Linked DNA regions of Tamandua tetradactyla. The protein of the gene in region 3 purifies or fractionates together with the protein of the main gene of each other region. This does not show direct contact. Links are inferred from orthologs where the notes say so. Each region holds a gene or a part of one and is shown on either strand. Other genes may lie near its edges.

Region 1 (7,702 bases), on a different chromosome or scaffold from region 3:
AAGCCATGGGGTTGGTTTTACAATTAAACTTCAGCTGTGCCCTTTCCATCTCAGATCCCCTGTTTTGAAGACAGTTTTTCTGAATGAGCTTGAAAACACATTTAATTTGGCATGGGCTGGAAACCCGTTGCTTCTGCCTGTTTCCTCCAGCCCCGGGAACCCCCCCCCCCCAAGGGCCCAGGCACAGGACCTGAAGCCTGTCTGTCAGGGGGGCCTGCAGCCTCAAATCACCCTGCTGACCCCCACCCTATCGGGGCTGGCTGTGCCCTGCCTCCCCTCCTGGATTCTCTGTGGGCAGCTGGCCTGGCTGAGCCACATCATGAGCCTGTGGGCTGGAGGTCTGGCCAGCGATGGCTGGGACATGGGGCCGTTCTGTTCATGCTGGCACCATCAGTATTGGTCAAGCTGGTTCCTGGCCAGGGGCTGTCCATTCCTCCTACAGGACAGTCACAATCCCCTGGCTGAGGGGAGGGCTGGCTTAGGGTAGGGGGGCCCATCAGCTTCGCAGAGCAGCCCCGTTGGGTGTTCCTGGCCCAAGCCAAGTGCCATTATCTGCTGGCCCCGGTGCTTGGGGGCTGGCACCCAGAACCCCACGGCAGAGGGAGGGGGAGGAGCCAGGGCTGCCTCTGCACCCCAGGGCCCTTCCTTGGCCCTGTCCGTGCCCTCCTGTGCTGGGCAGACCCCTGAGCCAGCCAAGTGCTGTGACCCGCTGGGGAGGGCAGCTGCCGTGTGGGGCCACTCAGGGCTGGTCCTGGAGGGTCTTGACTGTGACCCTTGCACTGCTGGCCTCCCTGGGCCTGCTTCTGGGTGAGCAGGAAGCTGCATCTGGCCTGATGTTCCTGCCCAGGGCTCAGCAGCCTGGAGCAGTGGCCCCAGTGGGAGTGAGCCCTGAGCTCCGACTGGCCTGTGGAGGGGTTGCTATGGCTGCCCATCCCCTTGGTCTCTGTCACACTACTACCCGGGTCTGTCCGCCTGGCCTTCAGAAGTTCTGGCTGCAGCCCTGCCTACCTGGGACTCTGTCCTGCTGGCCCAGACCTGCCTAAGAACCCTGGGCCAGGCCCTGGTGTTCCCTGGGGCTCAGCAGGTTGGCCGTCCAGCACCTGTGGCAAGGACGCTACTGAGCCCACGATGGGGCAGGCTGGGCTGGCTGAGCAGGGCCCCGCGGCCTCCCCTCCCCTGGCCCGCGTGGGTGGCAGCAGTGGCCTTCCCAGGCATAGGGTGGGGGTACCCAGCAGGGGCTGGTCTAGCCAGTGAGCAAATGAGCCAGAGGGAGTGGGAAGCGCGGATGCCTGAGGAGTGGTGGCCAGGAAGGCTGCCTGCTGAAGATGACTGCACTCCGAGGCTGGGGCTCCCTGAGATGGGGAGGATGGACACTGGGCAGGTGCAGCACGGGAGGAGACTAGGGCGCAGCAACCTGAGTCAATCTCAGCCGCTGAATGCGGGAGGCGAAGCTGCAACCCGGCTCCGCGGTGGGGCGGGCGGCGCGCGGGAGCCGCGTGCATGCGGGGCGGTGCCTCTGCGCGCCGGCGGGCGGCGTGTGCAGCACGGAGCGGGCGGGGCGGTGGCTCCGTGACGCGGCCCCCAGCGCGGCGGCGCCGAGCTGAGCAGGCGGAGCGGGCCGGCCGGGGCGGAGCGGAGACCGCAGAGCAGTCCGGCCCGGCCCGCGGCCGCCCGCCCCGGCCCGGCTCTATGGACAGGAGCTCGCTGCTGCAGCTCATCCAGGAGCAGGTGCGTGGGAAAGGGGGCAGGGGCGACGCCCACCCCGCGAGGCCCTCCCGGCGGCTGCGGCGGGACTCCCCCGAGAGCGTCAAGCCCCCAGCCCCTGCACCCCGCCGTCCCCTTCCCGCGCGACCTTGGCCCCTGCGTTTGCGCCCCCAGAAGAGGATGAGTGGGAGACCCACCCCTCCCGAGACAGGGTGGAGCTGAGGCAGGCAGTCCCTGGAGCCCCCCGAGCCCGAGGACTGCTCGGAACCTGGCCCACCCCTGTGGTGTGGGGGGCCGGGCTGCCCTCAGGCCTTGGTCACCCCTCTCCCTCCAGCAACTGGACCCCGAGAACACAGGCTTCATTGGTGCTGATACCTTCGCTGGCCTGGTGCACAGCCATGAGCTGCCCCTGGACCCCTCCAAACTGGACATGCTGGTGGCCCTGGCCCAGAGCAACGAGCAGGGCCAGGTGTGCTACCAGGAGCTGGTGGATCTGGTCAGTGCCAGGCGGGGCGGGCAGCGGGGGCTGCGGGGGTGGGCAGGGGTGCCTTCCTCCCCACCCTTCCTGCTGGGGAGGTCTTCTGGGCAGGGAGGTGCTACGGGAGGGGCACCATGGCCCACGCCCAGGCCCCGCGCCCCAGATCAGCAGCAAGCGCTCCAGCAGCTTCAAGCGCGCCATGGCCAACGGGCAGCGGGCCCTGCCCCGGGATGGGCTGCTGGACGAGCCGGGCCTGGGCGTCTACAAACGCTTCGTGCGCTACGTGGCCTACGAGATCCTGCCCTGCGAGGTGGACCGCCGCTGGTACTTCTACCGGCACCGCAGCTGCCCGCCCCCCGTGTTCATGGCCTCTGTCACGCTCGCCCAGGTGAGCCGCGCCCCTAGGCCGCGAGCTGCCCGCACCCGGCATGCCCTAACCTTCGGGCCCGCACCCCAGATTGTCGTGTTTCTGTGCTACGGGGCCCGCCTCAACAAGTGGGTGCTGCAGACCTACCACCCCGAGTACATGAAGAGCCCCCTCGTGTACCACCCCGGGCACCGCGCGCGCGCCTGGCGCTTTCTCACGTACATGTTCATGCACGTCGGGTGAGTGGGACCCGCGGGGGCGTCGGCACCGCCGAGCGGGGGTGGGGGGCGGGGACAACCGAGAGTGCCGCGCCCCTCACACCCTTGCGTGCTTCTGCCCCGCGCGGCCAGGCTGGAGCAGCTGGGCTTCAACGCGCTGCTGCAGCTGATGATCGGGGTGCCGCTGGAGATGGTGCACGGGCTGCTGCGCATCAGCCTCCTCTACCTGGCGGGCGTGCTGGCAGGTGAGGCGGGGGGACGGGCGCACCCCACCCGCCCGCGGGCCGCCCTCACGGCCTCTCCTGCCCGCAGGCTCCCTGACCGTCTCCATCACCGACATGCGGGCCCCCGTGGTAGGGGGCTCCGGCGGTGTCTACGCGCTCTGCTCGGCGCACCTGGCCAACGTTGTCATGGTAAGGGGGCGCCTGGGGGCCGGGAAGGGGCCGCGGGGCCGGGCCTGATGCCGTCTCTATGCTTGCCCCGGCAGAACTGGGCGGGCATGCGGTGTCCCTACAAGCTGCTGAGGATGGTGCTGGCGCTGGTGTGCAGTGAGTAGGGGGCTGCCGGGCGGGCGGGCCCCCCACCCGGGGCGCCTCCCCAGCGCTGCGCTTGCCTCCGCAGTGAGTTCCGAGGTGGGCCGGGCCGTGTGGCTGCGCTTCTCCCCGCCGCTGCCCGCCTCGGGCCCGCAGCCCAGCTTCATGGCGCACCTGGCAGGCGCGGTGGTGGGCGTGAGCATGGGGCTGACCATCCTGCGCAGCTACGAGGAGCGCCTGCGGGACCAGTGCGGCTGGTGGGTGGTGCTGCTTGCCTACGGCACCTTCCTGCTCTTCGCCGTTTTCTGGAACGTCTTCGCCTATGACCTCCTAGGCGCCCACGTCCCCCCGCCGCCCTGACGTCGCGGCCCCGGGCAGGCGCGGGGGCAGTGCGCCCACCGCCCCGAGCGTGCGCCCCGAAGCGGTGCCCTCCTGCTGGCGGGCCGCCGAGCGCTGCAGCCTGGGGCGGGAGGCCCCCGAGGAGGCCCCGGCCCGGCCCCACCCCGGGACCTGCAGACTGAGCCTTTTTGGAGAACGAATAAATATTCTACACGGCACCGGGTGGCGCTGCCGGGGCTGGGGGACTCGTCCGGCGCCCACCGCCAAGCGGCTGGAGCCGGGGGCGGGCAGCGGGGCGGTGCGGCCGCGGTTTCCAGGCTCCGGCTGGGAGGGGCAGAAGGAACCCGGGCGCGCCTGCTCCCCTCCGCCGGCACCGCGAAGGCCGCCCCTGCTCCAAGCCCTCGGCCCTCGAACAGCCGGTGACGAGGGCTGCCCACGGCCGCTTCGCCCTCGCCGCGCCACGGCCTCCGTGACCGGCGGGCACGAGGGCCGGAAGGTGGCGGCGCCGAGTTCGGGGTCACCATGGAGCACGAGCGGCAGCCGGGCCGGGGTCGCATGTGGGGCACTGGGGAGGCGAGGCTGCACCCCCGCTGCCCTTTCCCTCGACCCCGGCCGCTCCGGTGCGCCTCGGGTCACGCGCTTGTTGGCCGGCCTCGAGGACCGCGGCGAATTCTCCGGATGCCTGGACGGGATCACGGGAGCCGGGCGGCGGGGTGCGCCCCGCCTGCCACCCCATCCCGCCCGCAGGAGGGCGCGCAGCGAGTCTGCGCGCCGGGGCGGGGCTTCGCGGGGGGAGGGTCCAATCGGGGGGCGGGGCTCCGATGGGAGGCGGGGTCGACTCCGAGGAGCCTCGGAAGCGCGGCTCCGTGCACGCGTGCAGCCCACGAGCCTCGAGAAAAAGTACTCGTGGCGTCAGGCGGGGGTCGGGCAGCCCAGCCGCCTCAGCCTCGGGGCCTCAGGCGACCCTCGCGGCCGCCACGTTCTCCTCGGCGGCAGCTACCGCGTAGCCCCTCCCCGTCGCGAGGCGCGTCGCGCACGCGCGGCCCCGCCCCCGCGCGGCCGGAAGTTCCGGTGGCGGCTCCGTAGACCTGGCCCGAGTGGATCCCGGGCTTCGGCGGGGCCTCGGGCGGCGGGTGCAGGGCGGGCCGGGCGCGGAGCCCAGGCCGGGCCGCGCGGCGCCATGAAGGGCAAGGAGGAGAAGGAGAGCGGCGCGCGGCTGGGCGGCGGAAGCCCTGAGAAGAGCCCGAGCGCGCAGGAGCTCAAGGAGCAGGGCAACCGGCTGTTTGTGGGCCGCAAGTACCCGGAGGCAGCGGCCTGCTACGGCCGCGCCATCGTGAGTGCGCCGGGGCCCGGACGGGATCGAGGTCGGGATGGGGGCGAGGGGCGGGGCTCCCGGCTCCACCCCGCATCCAGCACCATCCCCTAGCCGGCCTCCCAGCCGGTCCCGCCGAGGATCTCGGCTCCTACCTGCGGGACATGGGCCCCGAGCACTAGGTAAGCCTCTTGTTGTCATTGGGCAGAGGCCGGGGCTGTCGAGACCGGCGCTCGTGGGTTAGGCTTCAGGGTACCTGGGGCCGGCTGGTTTGGAAGCTGGGAACTCTTACCCCGTGGGTCCCTATAGGTTTGGAAACTCAGTTACCAAATCAGTTTGGGTCAAACCAGGATAGGCTGTCAAGCTTCAGGCCAGACTCCACCCTCAGCAGGTCCTGACCCAACAGCTTTGGCAGCTTAGAAGCTTCAAGCTTTTTTCACCCAGTTATGGACCCTATAGCTGGGACAGAACCAGGGGCAGCAGGGCATCAGCTTTTTGGGGCAGAGGTCCCAGACTGAGCTCACTCCCTCATGCCAGTTGACCCAGCTCTTGGTCCCCAGACACGGAACCCCCTGGTGGCTGTGTATTACACCAACCGGGCCCTGTGCTACCTGAAGATGCAGCAGCTTGAGCAGGCATTGGCTGACTGCCGTCGCGCTCTGGAGCTGGATGGGCAGTCTGTGAAGGCGCACTTCTTCCTGGGTCAGTGCCAGCTGGAGATGGAGAGCTATGACGAAGCCATTGCAAATTTGCAGCGAGGTGGGCCAACAGGCTGGCTGCAAGGGCGCCTCAGTCTGGGACTGGGTGGGTGGGTGGCCAGAAGGTGACTTGCACCTCCACTCCCCCAGCGTACAATCTGGCCAAGGAGCAGCGGCTCAACTTTGGGGATGATATCCCCAGTGCTCTGCGCATTGCCAAGAAGAAGCGCTGGAACAGCATGGAAGAGCGGCGCGTCCATCAAGAGAACGAGCTGCACTCATACCTGACACGCCTCATCATGGCTGAGCGTGAGAGGTGGGTGGGGCAGGCCCTCCTCTAGCCCATCACCCACTTTTGAGGTTAACTGAGTCACAAACAGAAATGTTTATGGGAGATCAGTGCTGGCGAGCAGAAAGCAAAGGAGACAAGGTCTGGGCTATAACCCTGAGGCTGGAGTTGTGGTCTCACTTCTCTTGCCCAGACCCATCTCTGACTAGTTCCTGGTCGACCCCCAGGGAACTGGAAGAATGTCGGCGGAGCCACGAGGGTGATGAGGATGATGGCCACATCCGGGCCCAGCAGGCCTGCATCGAGGCCAAGCACGTGAGCGTGCCACCAGCCCATGAGGCCCGCACAGGGGGAAGGGAGCTGCAGTGTCCGGCCATTGCACAGCTTTGTGTTTATTTGCAGGACAAATACTTGGCAGACATGGACGAGCTCTTCTCGCAGGTGGATGAGAAGAGAAAGGTGAGGCTTGAGGCTGCTCTGTGCCCTGGGGCCTGCAGGTGGCAGGGGATGGAACAGTGTCCCCTCCCCAGGCCCTGATCCCTCCCGTGTGCCACAGAAGCGTGATATCCCTGACTACCTGTGTGGCAAGATCAGCTTCGAGCTGATGCGGGAGCCATGCATCACACCAAGTGGCATCACCTATGACCGCAAGGACATCGAGGAGCACCTGCAGGTGAGGCCTGGCAGGGCAGCAGGGTTGGAGCCAACAGTTTGCCCAGGGGGGCCAGCTGAGCACCCTTGGGCCCTCTTGTCACTGCAGCGTGTGGGCCACTTTGATCCTGTGACCCGGAGCCCCCTGACCCAGGAACAGCTCATCCCCAACCTGGCCATGAAGGAAGTCATCGATGCATTTGTCTCCGAGAACGGCTGGGTGGAGGATTACTGAGGGAGGACCCACCAAGGGCCACTCCCCGCACTCACTGCACCCTAGCCCAGGACCCGGGTCCCGGTCTCTGTACATAGTTTGGGTGTCTGGATCCCAGTCCCTCACCTGCCTCCTCCGCCATTCGTTCTGCTGTTGGCTCTGGACTGTTTGCGCTCAGCTAGGGTGTAAGCCTCCCCCATCTCCCTCAGGCCCAAAACAGCAGGCAAGGGTTGGGTGGGCTGGGGCCACCACCGCCACTGCCCTGGAATAAAGTCTGTGAGCACTACGTGGGCACATGCTGGCTGTGGGAGGCTTGGCAGGTGCTATCCAAGGAAAGTAGAGATGAAGACGCTGGTGTCAAGATTGAGGGTGGCATGCCACCACCGATCAGGGAAATACAGCACCTGGTACACAGGAGGAGGGGCCAGGATGAGTCAGGGCCTCAGCCTGGCCTGGCCCCCTCAGGGCAACCACAGACCTCGCCAGGGCGGATGGTACACTCCAGGGGCCGTTCCAAGGGCGCCAGGGCTGGATACACATCCTGGAGCCAGGCCAGTGTGGTTTTGTTGGGGTGGAACTCTGGTGTCTTCTCTGGGGGATACAGGAACCAGCGCTGGGGTTGAAGGTTGCGAAATCATTCCTGAGCTCTGGTGGCCAGTGAGCTCCCAACCTCAGTCCCCGCCACCACCCCCATCCCACGCTGACCTTACGACCATAGATGACTTCCGAGTACCCGGGCCCATGCCAGTGGAAGGGCACCCCAGAGCCAGCTCCTGTGGAGTGAATCAGTAGCAGTTAATGACCATGCTGACCCCCCCCCCCAATGCATAGACCCCTTAGTCTCAAAGGACCACTCACCTGCGATTCCAAAGCTGTAAGCAGGAGTGGTGCCCAGCAAA
Region 2 (7,315 bases), on a different chromosome or scaffold from region 3:
TGTCTACGAAAGTGTCCTTTAATTTATCTTCTAACTTAGCTGTTTTAATATGTCTCTGGTTTCTTTGTAGTTGTAATTATTTTAAAAATATCTACCCACTCAAATTCAAAAGGAGACATATAAGGATAACTGACTTAAAAACAAATGCTTATTGTGTAGATGTGAGAATGCAATTTACGTTAATTTTGAAACTGAAATGTGGTTGATAATTTTATGATATGGTCTACCACAACTTAAAGTGAACAAAAATCAGTAATTAAAAGACATAAAACCTGGATTTTAAAATGGGTTTTTAATTAAAAGGTCCTTTTATACTTAAATTATCTAAATTATGGTTTTGTTTAAATAAATCTATGAAATATAATTTTAATTTATATATGATACATTTAGGCATTCATCACATGATAAGGACCTCAACTTCTAATTACCCACAGTAGTATTTAAAGTAATATAGTCATATACACTTTAAAGAACAATTATATAACCACTCAAAACAATTAAGAACCTCAGTCTCATTAAGATTCCTTACAATTATCTATATATATATTTTTAAAAAAATACTACATTAGGAGGAGTAATTGTTCAGTCAATCTACCCTCGCTATGCACCAAAAAACCAACACAGCTTTTAATAGCAATAGCTTCTATGGCCATGGAAAGAATGTTCTTTCTTCTCTGGACTAATTCATTCTAAGCTCAGACGTTTAGGAAACTAAAAAAAAAAACAAAAAGTACTCTCTTCTAATCCAGGAATAAATAGAAAATTGAAGATTTAATTCGTTGTCTAATGCAATATTTTAAGTTTTTATGTTGAACTGATTAAAATCATTTTTAAAAAAGAAATCCACCCCAAATTCCCATAACTAAAACAACTAAAGATTCAGAAACATCAAAAGTTGGAAGACAAAGATCTCACAACATTTAAGCCTGCTGTTGTAGAGAAACAAAACATTTCAAATATCTCCTTTATTTTTTGAAAATCTCAAATAGTCAAAAATTATCTGCTGGTTAAAGAGGTCACCTTTCATTCATGATGTTATTGGTCAGTTAGGTAAATAAGAACAATTCTCACATAATTACAAGTAAAGTAGCATAATTAATCTAAATCAAAATTAATAACTTTGCTCTTAAGAAGTTAAATTTAACATCTCTGAGATATAAATCATTCCCAGGACACATGTCAAAGAAGACACATTAGAAGAAAAAACCGACTAAACTAAATCAAGTGTTTCTCACAAATGATGAGGATTAATAACGCACATTAAAAAAATGTATTTCTATAGATGTCCTAAACTGATCAGGGCCATAATTGTAGACTAAGTAGAGGTTAGGTGGAAGAATGATAAAAAGAAAACAAGTGAAAGCATGACAGAATAAAAATTTCCCATCAAAGAATATTTTGAAATCTATCCTTGAGTTTTGATTCACACAGGAAGAAATTCAGTTACTAGAATTCTCTAAAGTAAAAATCCGAGATGGGGGGCAGGGGCTGCTCACAGAATTCCCATAGACTACTACAAACACTTAACCAACATACGCCTTCACTTTTTCCTTGTCCACAATCTAATAAAATGGGAAGACAATAAAAATAAATACTCCTATAAGAGCTGCCCTCACAGAGGCCAAGGAAGCGCCCATTCAATGTTAGGCCTTGTTCCGCTGGAAAACATACTCCTAAAAACTAAATCCAAATCCCCGAGCTCAAACGTCTTCATACAGAATTTACGAATGGCGGCCACCGGGAGGACACGCTGTCCCGAATCACCCTGAGGGATATCTAGAGTTCTTCATTCTCCGCTTACAGCTCCGACCTTAACTATGCTTTCGGCACATCTGCAGATTTTTAAAGAGATTAAAACGTCAATCTAAAAAAGGCAATCTACATTCTGACCCTCATGAGTCTTTTTTTTCAGTACTGGTTTTTAATCATATACTTTCGCGGGGACACCTATAAATGATCAATAAAGGAAGAAGGCGTTAGTCCCGGGTGTGAATAGGATCGGGAATCCTAAAACAACTTTTAATGCGCTTTCGTCTCATCCCAGACTACTACAAATCGCTCGTTGCCACAGCGCTGCGCTGGCACTTTCAACAAGTGGCGGTGGAGGAGGGATGCTGTCTCCAGTCCCTTCTCCCAGGGCGCAGCTGAAGAGGGGTGAGCGCCCATCCAAAGCCCCCGGGTGGGCTACCCCGGGGCCGCCGCGCCGGGAGAGCGGAAACCGAAAGCGAGAAGGGCAGCGGCCAGGACGCTCCGTTATCCTCACCCTCCACGGGGCCAACAAGGTGAGGAAGTCTCAACAGTGCCCGCCGCGCGTCCGTCCCAGAGCATTGCTCAACCCCGGGCTCGAATGTTCCCGCCGCCCCCGGCTGCGAAGGCGAAGTTTCTCTCCCGCCCGCCGCGGCGGCTACTTACGCTCCGCCCGGCTCTCGGAGGATCCCGCCGCCTCCTCCGAGCGGCTGCTGCGGCGCTCCGCAGTCAACCGCCCGCCCGGCTTCGGGCGAGTCGGGGCGGGGGTGGTCGCCCGCCGAAGTCGGGACCTGATACCCCGGGCGGGAAACAAAAGCCGGGTGAGGACAAGCAGGCGCAACCTGCCTCGCCTCCGCGAGGGGGAGCGCGGCGGGCGCCCAACCAGCGCGCCTCCCGGAGGGAACACCGGCCCCGCGGTCTGCGGGGAAGCAGGGGCTGCGGCCCGGGCGGGGCGGCGAGGGGCACGCGGAGCCGCCCAGGGACCCGCAATGGGGCTGGAGGAGCCCCGGGAGCGCTCACCTCCAAGCTTCCCCGACCCCGCTCCGCCCGACTAGCCGCTCCAGGGAAGGGGAGCCGCGCGAGGGGGGCGGGGAGGCGGCGGAACCGAGAAGCAGGGAATTCGGCTCCCGGGGCGCCGCGGCCGCCCGCCCCATCCCTGCAGCCATGGCGCCGGTACCTGTCGCCGCGGTTGCCTGTCGTCTCCGTCTCCCTCCGCCGTACCCGCGAGCAGAGCGCCCTCAGCCCGCCCAGCAGGCCGCCGGCACACCGAACGCCGCCACTAGAGACTGGCAGCGCTCGCCAGCCGGCCTGAAAACCCAGGGCAGCGCCCGACGCCGTCCCGCTCCCGCCGGCCGCAGGACCCGCCTCCCATAGGGCCCCGGGGCTGTCAGCCCGCCCCCAAAAGGCGCGCGGGCTGTAGCCCCGCGTGACGGGATTGGTGGCAGCGCGCTGTCCGCGCAGATAAGGCCACACCCCTTCATTTGCATCACCGCCTGAATGTAACCTCCGCCTCCCCCACCCCAGCCCACGTGTCTGGCTCTTGTCCTTTGTGGGGACCTGAGAGAAGGGAGGGAGGAAGCTTCCCGACACCTCCTCACGCTCTCCTTTACTCCAAAGAAACTGATACCTAAACAAGCTACTTGACTTCATATCTCTTTGACAGCTCCGTCGCCGTTGTCTGGCCACCGGTCGTGCCCTGAGGATGGAGAGGGGCAGACCAAGCTGTCCGTGTCTGGAGCCAGCCAGGTCTGCCCCAGGAAATGAACTAAGAAGGTGAAGATGCCTGGACTGGGGAAATCCCACCTTGAGAACCAATTGAGCACACAGTACCTCTCTCTGGACACCCAGTGACTGTGGACACCATACTTTCCCTTGACTTCCAACCTTCCAAACGTGAGATCGCAGACCATTAAGAAGGATTGAGACAGGAAGAGGCCTTAACAATGGCCGTTTTCTCCCCACAAAGCATAAATCTGCTGCACAAACTCAACTTCAACATCAGCCCACCCCCATCCAATTAGATGGTTACCTGACTGGCTCCCATTGAGATCTATCAGCTGCACCTGGGTCTTAGGAAATGCCCAACTCAACCGTCTCGTTTTTTGAGGAAAAAGAAACCCGAAGTGCCAAAACTAGTTACCTATGAGACCTAATAATTACTTCTGGAATCTAAAAGTCCCATAGTCAGATTAGAATCCACATCTCCTGGCCCCCACATCAGCCCTCTAGCCACCATATCATGATGGGCATCACGTATTTATGAAAGTCACCGCACTGGTTGAGATTGTAGTTGTTCCTGCCTTCAAGAGGTGGACCCTTCAAAAATGGCAATTCCAGCACCGACAGACAGGATCCTGTCTTAGTCACTTAGCTATCCTCAGTAGTTAGCAGCTTCCCATCTTACCAGCTACTAAGTACCAGCTTCTCCCAACTACCAGGAGACAATCAGGACAATTTGTTCATGCCTTAATTCAGCAAGACAATGTTTATTAAAACTGCTCTACATACTAACACCAACTTACTAGGCATCTTATGTGCATAATAACAGTAAGTATTAAGCACTGTGTATGTGCAGAGCAAACGGAAGTGAGAAGACATTAGCCCTGCCCTTGGGGGCTTCAGCCTAGGGCACAATGACATCCACATAACATGTCAGTGCTCTTCATGTCACAGGGGCTTTGTGAAGGACCCCAAAGTGGGAGGAGACAGGGTTCCCTGGGGGAAACAGGGAAGTCTTTACTGAGGACTGGAGCTGAGTCTTGAAAGGTGGAGTAGGTGTTTGCCAGACAGACGAGTGTGAGAGAGGAAGTAAAGGGACTTCCAAGCAAGACCTGGAAAAGCCTAGTAGTGGAGGGAACAGTGAGGAGCCATGTGGACCAATCTCCAGGGCTGTGTGGCTGAGTCACATGCCCTGGGACCAGGCTCTTCCAGGAGGAAGACAGAAAGGCCCGGGAGGCTGCCAGGCTGTGTTGTAACACACCGCAGCAAACAACAGCAGGCCCTGTAGATACAGCTGCAGCCTTTTTTTTTCTCTTTTTTTTCTCGGCCAGAGTCTGTGGGGAACAGTCAGTTCCACAGTTCTGATGGCAGCTTGGCTGGCCCCACCTACTCCCTCAGAAAACCACTCCCGTGGCTGTACTTACCCTCATCTTCGGCATTTGGAAGCACATGTGCTTGCATTTCCCTTAAAAATTGCTGCCCTTCAGTTTTAATTCAACTATGACATGGTCTATGGCTGCAGAAACCTGAATGAGGGATGGGTAGCCCTTTCCCAACACACGGAGCCGTTCTTTGCGGAGCTGTCACCAGGGCTGGCAAGCTTCATAGGTGTGTGACCTAGACAGTTGCCTGGGAATACACACTTAGCAGGGCTCTGTGCTTGGTTTAATGCTCTACCGTTGCCATCGCGAAACTCTTAATCATCTTTTCAACAAGAAGCCCCACATTTTCATTTTGCACTGGACCCTGCAAATTATGTAGCTGTTCCCAACAGTGCCCCTGTCACTGTTAGTGCCCCCAAGCATATGTATAGCCAGCCTGCTACTACTCAAACCACATCTCATTTTTAAAGCTCTAGGCATTCGCTAGGTTTGCTCACGTGCTATATGTCATTTGATTCTCACAAGGGCAATGTAGGGTAGGCCAGTATTACTAGTCCAATTTACTAGTTGAGAAAGTTAAAGTTTGGCCACCTTCTCCAGGTGGCACAGCCGCAAAGTGAGAGAGCTTGTATTTAAACTCAGCACACCCAACCCCTATTTCTTCTCCTGTACAGCTACATCCATGTTGGTTTCAGAATCTTCCCAAGGCAGCTTGGTATATGGAGGTGTACCTTTCTAAGAGCCAGCTCACCTTAAGGAATGGGCAGTTGTTATTTCATGGTTGCCTGCCAGCTTTGGAGCAGCTTTTCACCAGCTTTAAAAAAATTCTCAGCTGCTGCCTGTGCAAATATTGTTTCTGTCTCTTTTCTTCTATCCTTCTGGAGAAGGATATTACACCTTCCCATGACAGCCCTTTCTTTTGTATTTTCTGTCTTTTTTTCTTCCCTGCTTTGTTCTGTGAAGTGTCTTCACAATTTTTCAGCACATTTGCTCTCTCTTCAGCTTTTTAAAAACAAATCTACTCTTAAACCCATCCACTGAGCTCTTAAACTTGGTTATGCTGTTTTTTAGTTCTAGAATTTCAGTTTAATTTGTTTTCAAATCTGCTATGTCACTTCTCAGACCTTTTAGTTCCCTGCTACAATTTTCAAACTTGGCTTTTCTCTCCTTACACATAGTAAGTTAGTTGTTTTACATTCTGTGTCTGATAATACCAATCTGGACTCCTTACAGATCTGTTTCTGTTACCACTTTTTACTGCTGGCTCTTCCTACATGTCTCTTCATGTACCTGGTTATTTCTTTGAACATTGTATTTGAAAAATCATTTGAGGTAATGATGTTAAAATCTTCCTCTGGAAAGAATTTCCATTTGCTTCTGCCAGGCATCTGGGGTACTAGCAATCTAGGATCACCTTAACCCAATTTCAAGGCTTCTGATTTTCTAAGCCTCCCAGATCACTCAAACTGGGCTATAATTTGTGGGAAGGTTTGTTTTTTTAGAGTTCATCCTTACCCAGTGGTACAGCCCTTTGGAGACACAGTCTAAAATCTTGGGAGTTGTTTTAGTTATATATTGCTGCATGGCAAACTATCCCAAAATGTGAGGGCTTAAAACAGATGTCAACAGACTTCTCCTAAAGGGCCAGATATTTTAGACTTACAGACCATTTGATTTCTGTCACAACTACACAACTTCTGTCGTAATAGCATAAAGCAGCTATAAACAAAACATAAGCAAATGGCATGGCTGTGTTCTAATAAAGCTTTATTTCCTAAAACAGGCAGCCTAAATCTTCATCTTGATAAAGGACATCTATGAAAAATCTGCAGTCACATCACACTTGATGGAGAAAGACTGGATATTTTCTCCGTGAGATCAGGAACAAGACAAGGATTCCATTCTCATCACTTCTATTCAACGCTGTACTGGAAGTTCTAGCCAGGGCAATTAGGCAAGAAAAACAAATAAGAGGCATCCAGATCGGAGAGGGAGAACTAAAACTCTTTGCAGATGACATGATCTTGTATATAGGAAAATCCTAAGGAATCCATTAAAAAACTATTAGAGGTGGCGGCCTCCTGGGCTATGTAGCCAAGGCAGCACTTTCAGTGCCTTAGGGAAAGGACAGGATTCTAGAATGTCACTACGGAAGGGACATTGAGTGCTTTCTCATACGAATTCCAAACTGCGACCCACCCGGCTCTGCCTGTTGCTGGGTGTGGGAACGCAGATGCTCAACACCCTAAAGAGATGTTTTAAGATAAAGGAGGCTTTAACTGTCAGCAATGTACGGCGGTAATACAGAACCTAGATTCGCGCTCTGCAGGACGGTGGGAGATGAGTAAAACATGCTTGAGGATGTGGACAAATAACTGACATTAAAATTTTCAAAAGTGGTCACAGTGGCGTAGCAGGCAGAGTTCTTGCCATGCCGGAGACCCGGGTTCATTTCCCACCAGTTCCTG
Region 3 (8,178 bases):
GGCGGGAACCTCTCTCCTATCCCATCCCCCTGCACGCCTTATAGCTGTACAATATCCCCCTCACCCCACCCCCAGCGTTTAGTCTGAAAGAGGGAGACACTTCCCTTCAGACCCAGACAGGGACAGACGGCCACTTTGTGATGCAGATGAGGGCCCCAGCTCAGAGGACAAAGCTTGGGCCTTGGGGAAAAGGGGCTGGGCCCTTCCCTGCAGACAGAAACAAGGAGGGAGGGTCCCTGAAAAGGACACTCCCCCTCCCCCAACCCCAACTAGCCCAGAGAAAGAAAAGTAACAGAGCTGAAAGCCTTGGCTCAGGGAATCTTTCCCTGCAGTTCAGAGTCCCACATACTTCCTATTCAGACTACCTATTCAAAAGATACAAACTCAAGGCTAGATAAGTTGGCAGGTAAACAAATCCAAAAAGGATGTGTCCACATATGAATATATAACCACATATAAGATTAACCATATATGTTCACACTTGAGCATGATTCAATTCAATTAACAAACGTGTTCTGTGTTAGGGCCTATGCCAGGCACATCCACTGGTTCCACAGATAAATCAGTGCTTCTGCCCTCAGGGAGCATCCGGTTCAATAGATATGCTTGGAACACACAGTAGGCATACCTGGGGATAAGCCCAGTGAGGCCAGTAACAAAGCCTTTGTGTATTGTGTTTTTGAGCCTCCTCAGGACAAGACTTCAAATCCCAAGAAAATTCTCTGGTGGGGAGGAAGCAGTTATAGGGTCCTTCCAGCCAAAGCTTTCAGACTAACTTTCATTTACACCAGTTGATGAGGCAAAGCCTGTTCCACTAGGCTCTTCTGAAGGCTACCACAGACTCGAGACACCAGGATCTACCCCCTTTCCTAGAATCTTATTTTCTGTTAACAAACAAAAAAAAAGATTTTTAGTCACTCCAAAGTCAATTAGGAATTTACCAGCAGTCTGATGTGGTGCTAGCTTCCAGAAATCCATTTGGACCTCTGTGACCCATCCCTTTTTCTAGTCCAAAAGTGGTCACAAATGGGATCCAGCCTAGAAGACCAGGGGCACTCCTCAGATGGGAAGAGGGGCCTGAGGGAAGGAGAAAGTAGTTTCTACTGATGTCATTTGCTCCCTGTACTCTATTTCCATACTTTAGCAGTCACCAACTGCTTATAGACCACTGAATACAAGACTTGAGTTAGTTGACAGAAGCTATTTCCTTGAAGGAGTAAGGGGTAAAAGACAAAGATCCTTGCACCAGAAACATAATGAGGTTCCTTTTCCAAATAGAAATCCTATTCCCATCTCTAGATGGGAAGGAAGTGAATCCTAAAGGATTCCCGGGTCCAGACTGCTCATCCTCCCATCACAGGTAAGAGACCTAGGACACAGAAGGTGCCAGCACACAGCAGCCCATCCTGGGGACTCCAGGCTTCTTGGGAAAGCCCTGTCTCGGTTTCTCTCTGTTCTTATATCCCTTTCTCCCGAGTGCCTGTGAATAAGGAGAAGTTAGAGCTATCACCTGGGACTCAGCACACCAGGGTACAGGCTAAAAACTAAACCACCCTAAACAACGTGTTTGTGGTCATAGGCTAGCTGGGCAACCTTGGGTCCAATGACATGGTCCTGACAGTTTCTGGGAAATGGAAAAAGAAGGAAAGACTACAGATCCAAAGATACCCAGTAGTGGTTAGAAGTCATGAAAATATTGCAGTATAGGAAGAGATCAGGCAATCACTTCAAGAGACATTTCAATGGAAAGATCATTATCCCTGTATTAAAACTCCTATTCTACTCAATTTTGGTCCAGAAACTCATTCACAATGCAGACAACCCCTTCCAGGTATACCTGGTCCTAGTCATAGTTTCTCTGTAATTAAAATCTTTCTAAGGCCTATCTTCAAGGAGAACCCGCCCCATCCCTCTTCCCTGAAACACAGTCTCAGTCCTGGTCTTTTCTCACACCAGTGGCAAAGAAAGGGACATTGGCACTTTCCCCCAAATCACTGTTGGAAAACTGAGAGCGAGGGGCCAAGTGCAAAAAGACCCTAAGATTAAGAGAGGACTATTTCCATTTGTCCTCTGCCTACATAACGTTAGAGATGCACCCCATCAACCCGTGCTCCTTTTTCCTAACCAAACCAGAACTAGGTGGAGTGGGGTGGGGTGGGTGGGGTGCCTCAGGCAGCCACGCCCCCATATCAGGCAGCCCCTTCCAGCTGCCATCTCTGCGCATGCTCCCGCGCCTCCGCTTTGGTTCCCCAGACTCACCGGGGGAATCCCGTGGCTGGGTCCCCACCCACCGCCCCCTGACCCTCGCCCCCGCGTCAAGCCCGCCTGGGGCGGAGCTCAAAGCCCAGCTCGGGAGCCTTTTCCCAAGAGACACTAGCCCAACCCAGGCCAGCTGAATCCCCGCCCCCCGCATGCGGCAGCTCCGGGCCCATCTGTGTGTTCCCCCCTCCTCTCCTGAATACCTGGAGCCCGCCCTCTGCCACCTGCAGGGCCTCTCCCTAGGCCTCCCCGGATTTCCATGAGTCCTTCCGTACCTTCAGGCCCTTCTCACAGATTACTTCCCATAACCAGGACTGCATACAGCCTCCTTTTACAAACGGCCCCCTATCTCGGAGCTTTCTTCACAAGGTTCTTCCCCGGAACTGCACATAGCCCCCTTCAAACTGGGCCCCCTATCCCATGAGAGTCCCTCTCCTCACTAAAGAACGCTCCCCTTGCTCGGAAACCCCACTCCTCACGCAGGAGCCCCCTGGTCCTTGGAGCATGCATCGCCCCCCACTCCCAGGGGCCCTTACCTGCTCCCGAGGGTCCCGCTTCCATCCCATATACCCGTGCAGAGGTCAGGCGGCCCGGAGACTGTGGAGTCCAGCGTGAGGGGCCTAAGTACCCTGCACTCTCACAGCTCGGGCTCCCGGGCCGGGCTCGGATCCCCCCCCAAGCCCGGCCGCTCGTGCCTCCGCCCCCGCAGCCTCCGTTGCCTCCGCCGCGGCGGAGCCTGCAGCAGCTCCCACTGCGAGCACCCGGCCAGCTGTCAGTGCGCAGGCGCAGCCGCCAGGCCCAGGGGGCGGACGGGAACGAGTCAAGCGGGGCGCTCCGACGGCAACAAAGGCCAATGGAGAGGGGCGGGGGCACCGGGGGGGGGGCGGGAGCACGGGGGACCCGAGGCAGCGGCCCCTGGCGGTCACCCGTCGCTATGCAGCCCGGCAGGAGGGCTCCGGTACAGGAATCGCGGAACCGCGCAGCGGCATAAATGGGGTAGGGGTGGGTAGAAGAGAAAGGAGGGAGGCATCCCCGCAGCAACCTCTAGCCCCATACCTCTTCCTCAAACAGTACCTTCCAAACCTACACACAGCCCTTCCTTCATACAGAGCCACAAGCACATTACAGGGACCCCACATACACCCAGTCCCCCCTCAAGCACTTGAACGCCCCACCATCCAGGAGCCCTGCCTCCCACCTCTCCTCCCAATCATCCTCATCCTTCAAGCCTTGGCTGGAAAATGACTGTCTCCGCGAAGTCTTTCTTCGTCCCTAGTCACTGAACTCATTGACGCCACCCTCTCCTCCAGGCCGTGTGCTGGACGCTGAGACCACTAATACGAAAGAGACCCTGCCTCACAGTCTCAACTTAAGTACGGCTATAGAGCTCTATCTGCGGGATTCAGGAGGCACCTGCCTCCACTTTCTCATCTATAGCTCTTCTGAACTCTGCCAATTTGCTTCTGCCCCCGCCCCTTCCCAACGTCACCTAAATGACTTTTTGCGTCGAAATCCAATGATAATTTACAACTCTTATTTTATTTCTCTGCAGTATCTGACACTGTGCCTATTTCTTTTTGATCCTTCTCCTTGGCTTCTACATTTTCTGAAGTCCCCTATTGCCTAATTCCTTTCCAGATTCCTTCAAGAGCCTCCTCTTTCTTTTGCCTCACTTAGTAACAGTGTTCACTGTGCTTCCAAATCCAGCTCTCTTCTCATTCCACTCTCCACTCTTCCCTTGAGGGTCTCATCGACTCTTTTGGCTCAACTCTCCTCCCAAACCTCCATCTCTAGCCATGACTCAGACTCATACATCCAAGTGTCTGCTGGACAGCTCCACTTGAATATCCTACCAATACTTCCAATTTAAGGAATTCAAAATGGAACTTTGTCTTCTGCCACCCAAACGTGCTTGACCTGTGTTTCTTGTCTCAGTGAGTGGCAACTTCATCCTAGAAAGGACAGTTTTTTTTCTCTCTCTCTTTCTCTTGTTTCTTTCCCCCATTCAGCTGTTTACCAAGTCCTGACATGTTCACCTTCTCTACTGCTCTCACTTGATTCTCCTGCCATCCTGAGGACCCTCTTGCTGGTGCAGACTCATCATATCTTGCCAGAAGTATCAAAACAAATTCCTTGCTAGCCATACACCTTCTGGGACCTTTCCTCCCAAAAAGTCTACTGCTGATAGGTGGTATGAGATCCAGCTCAAAAATCATTCTCCCATATATTCATTCAAAATGTATTTTTTGGTGCTACTTTTACACTAGATTCTTTGCAGAGGTCTGAGAACTTAAGAGATGGACTATATATAGTGCCTACCAATGAGATTAATTTCTGACATTCATCAGAGCATGCCTTGCTTCTCTCCAGCAGAGATTCTGAAACAAGCATCAAAATTACCTGGAGGGCTTGTTTAAACACTGATTGCTGAATCCCACCTCCAGTGTTTCTAATACAGTAAGACTGAAGTGGGTCCCAAGGATGTGCAAGTTTCCAGGTAAGGCTGATGTTGTTGGTCTGTGATTACCTTTTGAAAACTACTATTCTGTAGTATATACTAATGGTTAAGAACAAAAACTTTAGAGCCACACTTTCTTGATTTCGCTCCTGGTCCTGCCATTTACAAGCTGTGTAACATTGGACAAATCACTTAACTTCCCTGTGCCTCAATTTCTTCTTCTGTAAAAGTACCTATCTCACTGGGCTGCTGTGAAGATTGAATGAGCGAATACATATAAAGACTTCAGAATACGGGTTGGAAGATGCAAGCAAAATGTTAGCTACTATCATAATCATTGTCTGCCTCCCACACTCTAAGCATAAGCTCCTAAAGGGCAGGGACCAAATCAGATGCATATCTGTCCTCTTCAGTGTATAGCACAAGCTGTGCCTAAAGTAATTAGTAAATATGGGTTGACCTGAACCAAACAGATTGCATCAAAAACTCCTTACAACAGCCTACCTGGCCATCCCATAGATCTGCCCCATGTTTTCACAGTACTTGGACAGAACACGCCCAGGGACTATCCCCATCCCTCCTCAGCATCAGACCCCTCTCCAACTTCTACAGCTGCAAGCTCAAGGACCATCTTCTCAGCCATTCCCTGCTTCCACAAACAGCTAACACCATTTTTTGGGTCCTCATTGCCAACTAACCATGAGTTCCCAGATCCTGAGATCTATTCTGTTGAAATGAAGTCTTCCGTCAACTGCCTAGTCAACCTGCATGTAGGGGCCTCCTACACCTATCTCTTTCTGGGCTTCTATTTTGACTGAGAAGATTGCAGCCCTAAAAGGCACGGACCACTTCTTCCACAAAATGGTGAAAGAGTAGCAGGAGGGTACCCAGCATCTCTTGAAGATACAAAGCCAGCACAGCAGCCACACCCTCTTCCAGGATGTGTAGAAGTGGTGGAGTAAAACACTAGATGCCATGGAAGTCACCATGACCCTGGAGAAGAACCTGAACCAAATCCTTATAGATCTGTATGCCCTGGGTTCTGCCAACAGAGATACTAATTTCTGTGACTTCCTGGAGAGACATTTCCTAGATGATGAAGTGAAACTCATCAAGAAGATGAGCAACCACCTAACCACTTTCTGCAGGCTGGCAGGCCCACAGTCCAGGCTGGGTGATGATCTCTTTGAAAGGCTCACTGTCAAACATGACCAAGAGCCTCTGGAACCCAGAGGACCCCTCAGTATTCCTTGGGCATCCAGGCTTCTGCCTGAGCCCCTCCCTCCAGCCTGGAGGCATCTTTTTTTTTTTCAATGATTCAAAGACAAAAATTTAATGAAAATTAGTTAACTAGGAATATAATAATTCACAGGGCTAAATAGTTTACATGGGAGGCATTTTTTTAAACCAACGACCTTGCAGCCCTCTAACAAGCCATGAACCAAATGTAAAAAGTAAAGCTATTTGCAGGGAAAAAAAAAATCCCAGAAATAGCAAGACCCTTGCCCTGGTTTAACTGAGCTGGGAGCTCAGCATCCAAAAAGAAGGGTTTAAATCACCTGCTGTGAATGTCCAGCCTCATATGAATGTCCTTTCCTCATTGAGGAAAGGCACTGGCCACTATTCTCACTCATCTCCAGAGTGGCTAGTGGAGTCAAGCCTGACCCTGGCCCATAAAGGTCTTCCTGAAGAGTATCTCCATTATCAGGAATTTCACACCTGGCTTGACAAAGTGGTAGACATAAGGGAAATCCAGAAAACTTTTTTTTTTTTTTGGGCTGGAGCTGTGAGGCTGCCAGCATTCTGGGGACTCATGGTCCAAGAACACTCAGTGTAGACGGCGCCTCTTCCTCTCTGCCACCCGTGACACAGCTGGGACACAGCAGCCACAGCTGCAACGCCTACAGGGTAGGGGGAAATCCAGAAAACATTTTGATGTTTATGCTGACAAACTTCTTCCAGCAATACTTAATGTACCTTCCCAGAAATCTGTTGGATCCCCTGTTTTCAAATCAATTCTCACATGTCAGTCTAATGCTAACCCACATCAAAGGGCCACTGCTGTGTTGGCCAGAGCCCAGGTCTTTCCATCTATATACCTTCTCCACACCCAGAGTTTCCTGGCTCCAAAACTTCAAGAACAGCCTAAAAAAATGTGCATCCCCATCTATATTTTCCTCTTTTTAATATTAAAAAAACTTCCTGGTAACAATGAAATTAACATAATTAATAGATAAAAAACAAATTGTATACCCTATTATTAGGAAATGAATCATTAACAGCGCATCATCCCTTTTATCTACGGTAAACATATTTCTTACATATTCTACGAAATAGTTTTAAAAATCAAAAATCATGAATAATGGAATTAGTAAATATTAGCTAGTTCTTTGAAAATACATAAAACTGGTAAGATTTTTTAAATTACTTTTTAAATTGAGGTAGAATTGATTTACAATAAACTGCACATATATTAAGTGTACAAACTGATCAGTTCTGCCCTATGTATAAGACTGTGAAACTATTACCATAATCATGATAGCAAACATATCCATCACATCCACATTTTAAAACTTATTACAGAGTTTAACAATATAAGGGAATTATGTATGTAATTATAGGCTAATGAATTTAAAACCGTGAGTAAAATGCTAAGCAAGGATACGAAAGCAAAAACTGAGGAACAACTAAAGAGGACATGGAAAAAATTATCGAAAATGACCAAAGAACGTCTCGCCCAAAAGGTTCACCATTATTTACAAATATTCCTGAAAGAGATCATTCTGTTCCATGCTATATGACAATTCTAGAACAAAGAGGGAAGGGGAGTTTTCTTAATTTGTTCATAATGGCTGATAAAGAGTTGGATCTTTTATCATGATTATATTACGAAAAAGAGATCTCAGGAATATGGATGTAAAAATCACAGGTAAAATACTAGCACATAGATTTCTACAACAGACTAAGAAAAATTATAATAGCAATAATTAACATTATAACAAGCTTACTGTGTTCCAGGCACTGTTCTAATTAATGCATATTAACTTATGCAATCCTCACAAAAACCCTGAGGCATAATAGAACAGATGAGTGGGCATGGGGTGAGAAGAAATAGGTGAATAACCAGTAGGCAGGTACTGTAAAAACAGAGACATAGAGGGGATAAATAACTTGCCCAAGGTCACATGGCTTGCAACTGGCAGAGGCAGACCCTGAACCCAAGCAGTAAGGTTCCAGAGTTGACACTCTTAATTACTATACTATATGACACTAAAAGAATAGCATATTTGTTTCCTGGCCCATGTACCCAAACAACAACAAAAAGAATAACATATAACAAATACAAGGGTAATTTAGGTATGGTGCAAAAATAAGGAAATATCTTAATACATCATACTTATAGATAATAAAAAATAAATATAATTATAATATCTAATCAAAATACTAGATAAAATGTAATA

Evidence for each region. Proteins that work in one complex are often made in the same cells at the same time.
Region 1: the proteins of protein argonaute-1 (region 3) and STUB1 purify together in Homo sapiens (affinity purification with mass spectrometry; 3 studies listed by BioGRID and IntAct, with this or other methods). This does not show direct contact. The link is inferred for Tamandua tetradactyla from reciprocal best matches to the Homo sapiens genes AGO1 and STUB1.
Region 2: the proteins of protein argonaute-1 (region 3) and FKBP5 purify together in Homo sapiens (affinity purification with mass spectrometry; 6 studies listed by BioGRID and IntAct, with this or other methods). This does not show direct contact. The link is inferred for Tamandua tetradactyla from reciprocal best matches to the Homo sapiens genes AGO1 and FKBP5.

What each region holds. Positions count from the first base shown.
Region 1 is NC_135349.1:56,698,640-56,706,341, reverse strand, and holds STUB1 (E3 ubiquitin-protein ligase CHIP), read left to right. Parts: upstream 1-4,725; 5' UTR 4,726-4,819; coding exon 4,820-4,972; intron 4,973-5,511; coding exon 5,512-5,710; intron 5,711-5,799; coding exon 5,800-5,965; intron 5,966-6,165; coding exon 6,166-6,253; intron 6,254-6,312; exon of another isoform or gene 6,313-6,340; coding exon 6,341-6,397; exon of another isoform or gene 6,398-6,494; coding exon 6,495-6,824; 3' UTR 6,825-7,089; downstream 7,090-7,702. Other genes in the region: RHBDL1 (rhomboid-related protein 1), read left to right, coding at 1,690-1,728, 2,039-2,200, 2,346-2,570, 2,640-2,788, 2,900-3,012, 3,080-3,180, 3,255-3,315, 3,389-3,660; JMJD8 (jmjC domain-containing protein 8), read right to left, coding at 7,127-7,207, 7,282-7,416, 7,509-7,576, 7,662-7,702. UniProt on the Homo sapiens protein: E3 ubiquitin-protein ligase which targets misfolded chaperone substrates towards proteasomal degradation.
Region 2 is NC_135331.1:92,296,816-92,304,130, forward strand, and holds the start of FKBP5 (peptidyl-prolyl cis-trans isomerase FKBP5), read right to left. Parts: upstream 3,114-7,315; 5' UTR 2,924-3,113; intron 2,497-2,923; exon of another isoform or gene 2,413-2,496; intron 1-2,412. UniProt on the Homo sapiens protein: Immunophilin protein with PPIase and co-chaperone activities. Component of unligated steroid receptors heterocomplexes through interaction with heat-shock protein 90 (HSP90).
Region 3 is NC_135328.1:189,483,191-189,491,368, forward strand, and holds the start of protein argonaute-1, read right to left. Parts: upstream 3,029-8,178; 5' UTR 2,821-3,028; coding exon 2,796-2,820; intron 1-2,795.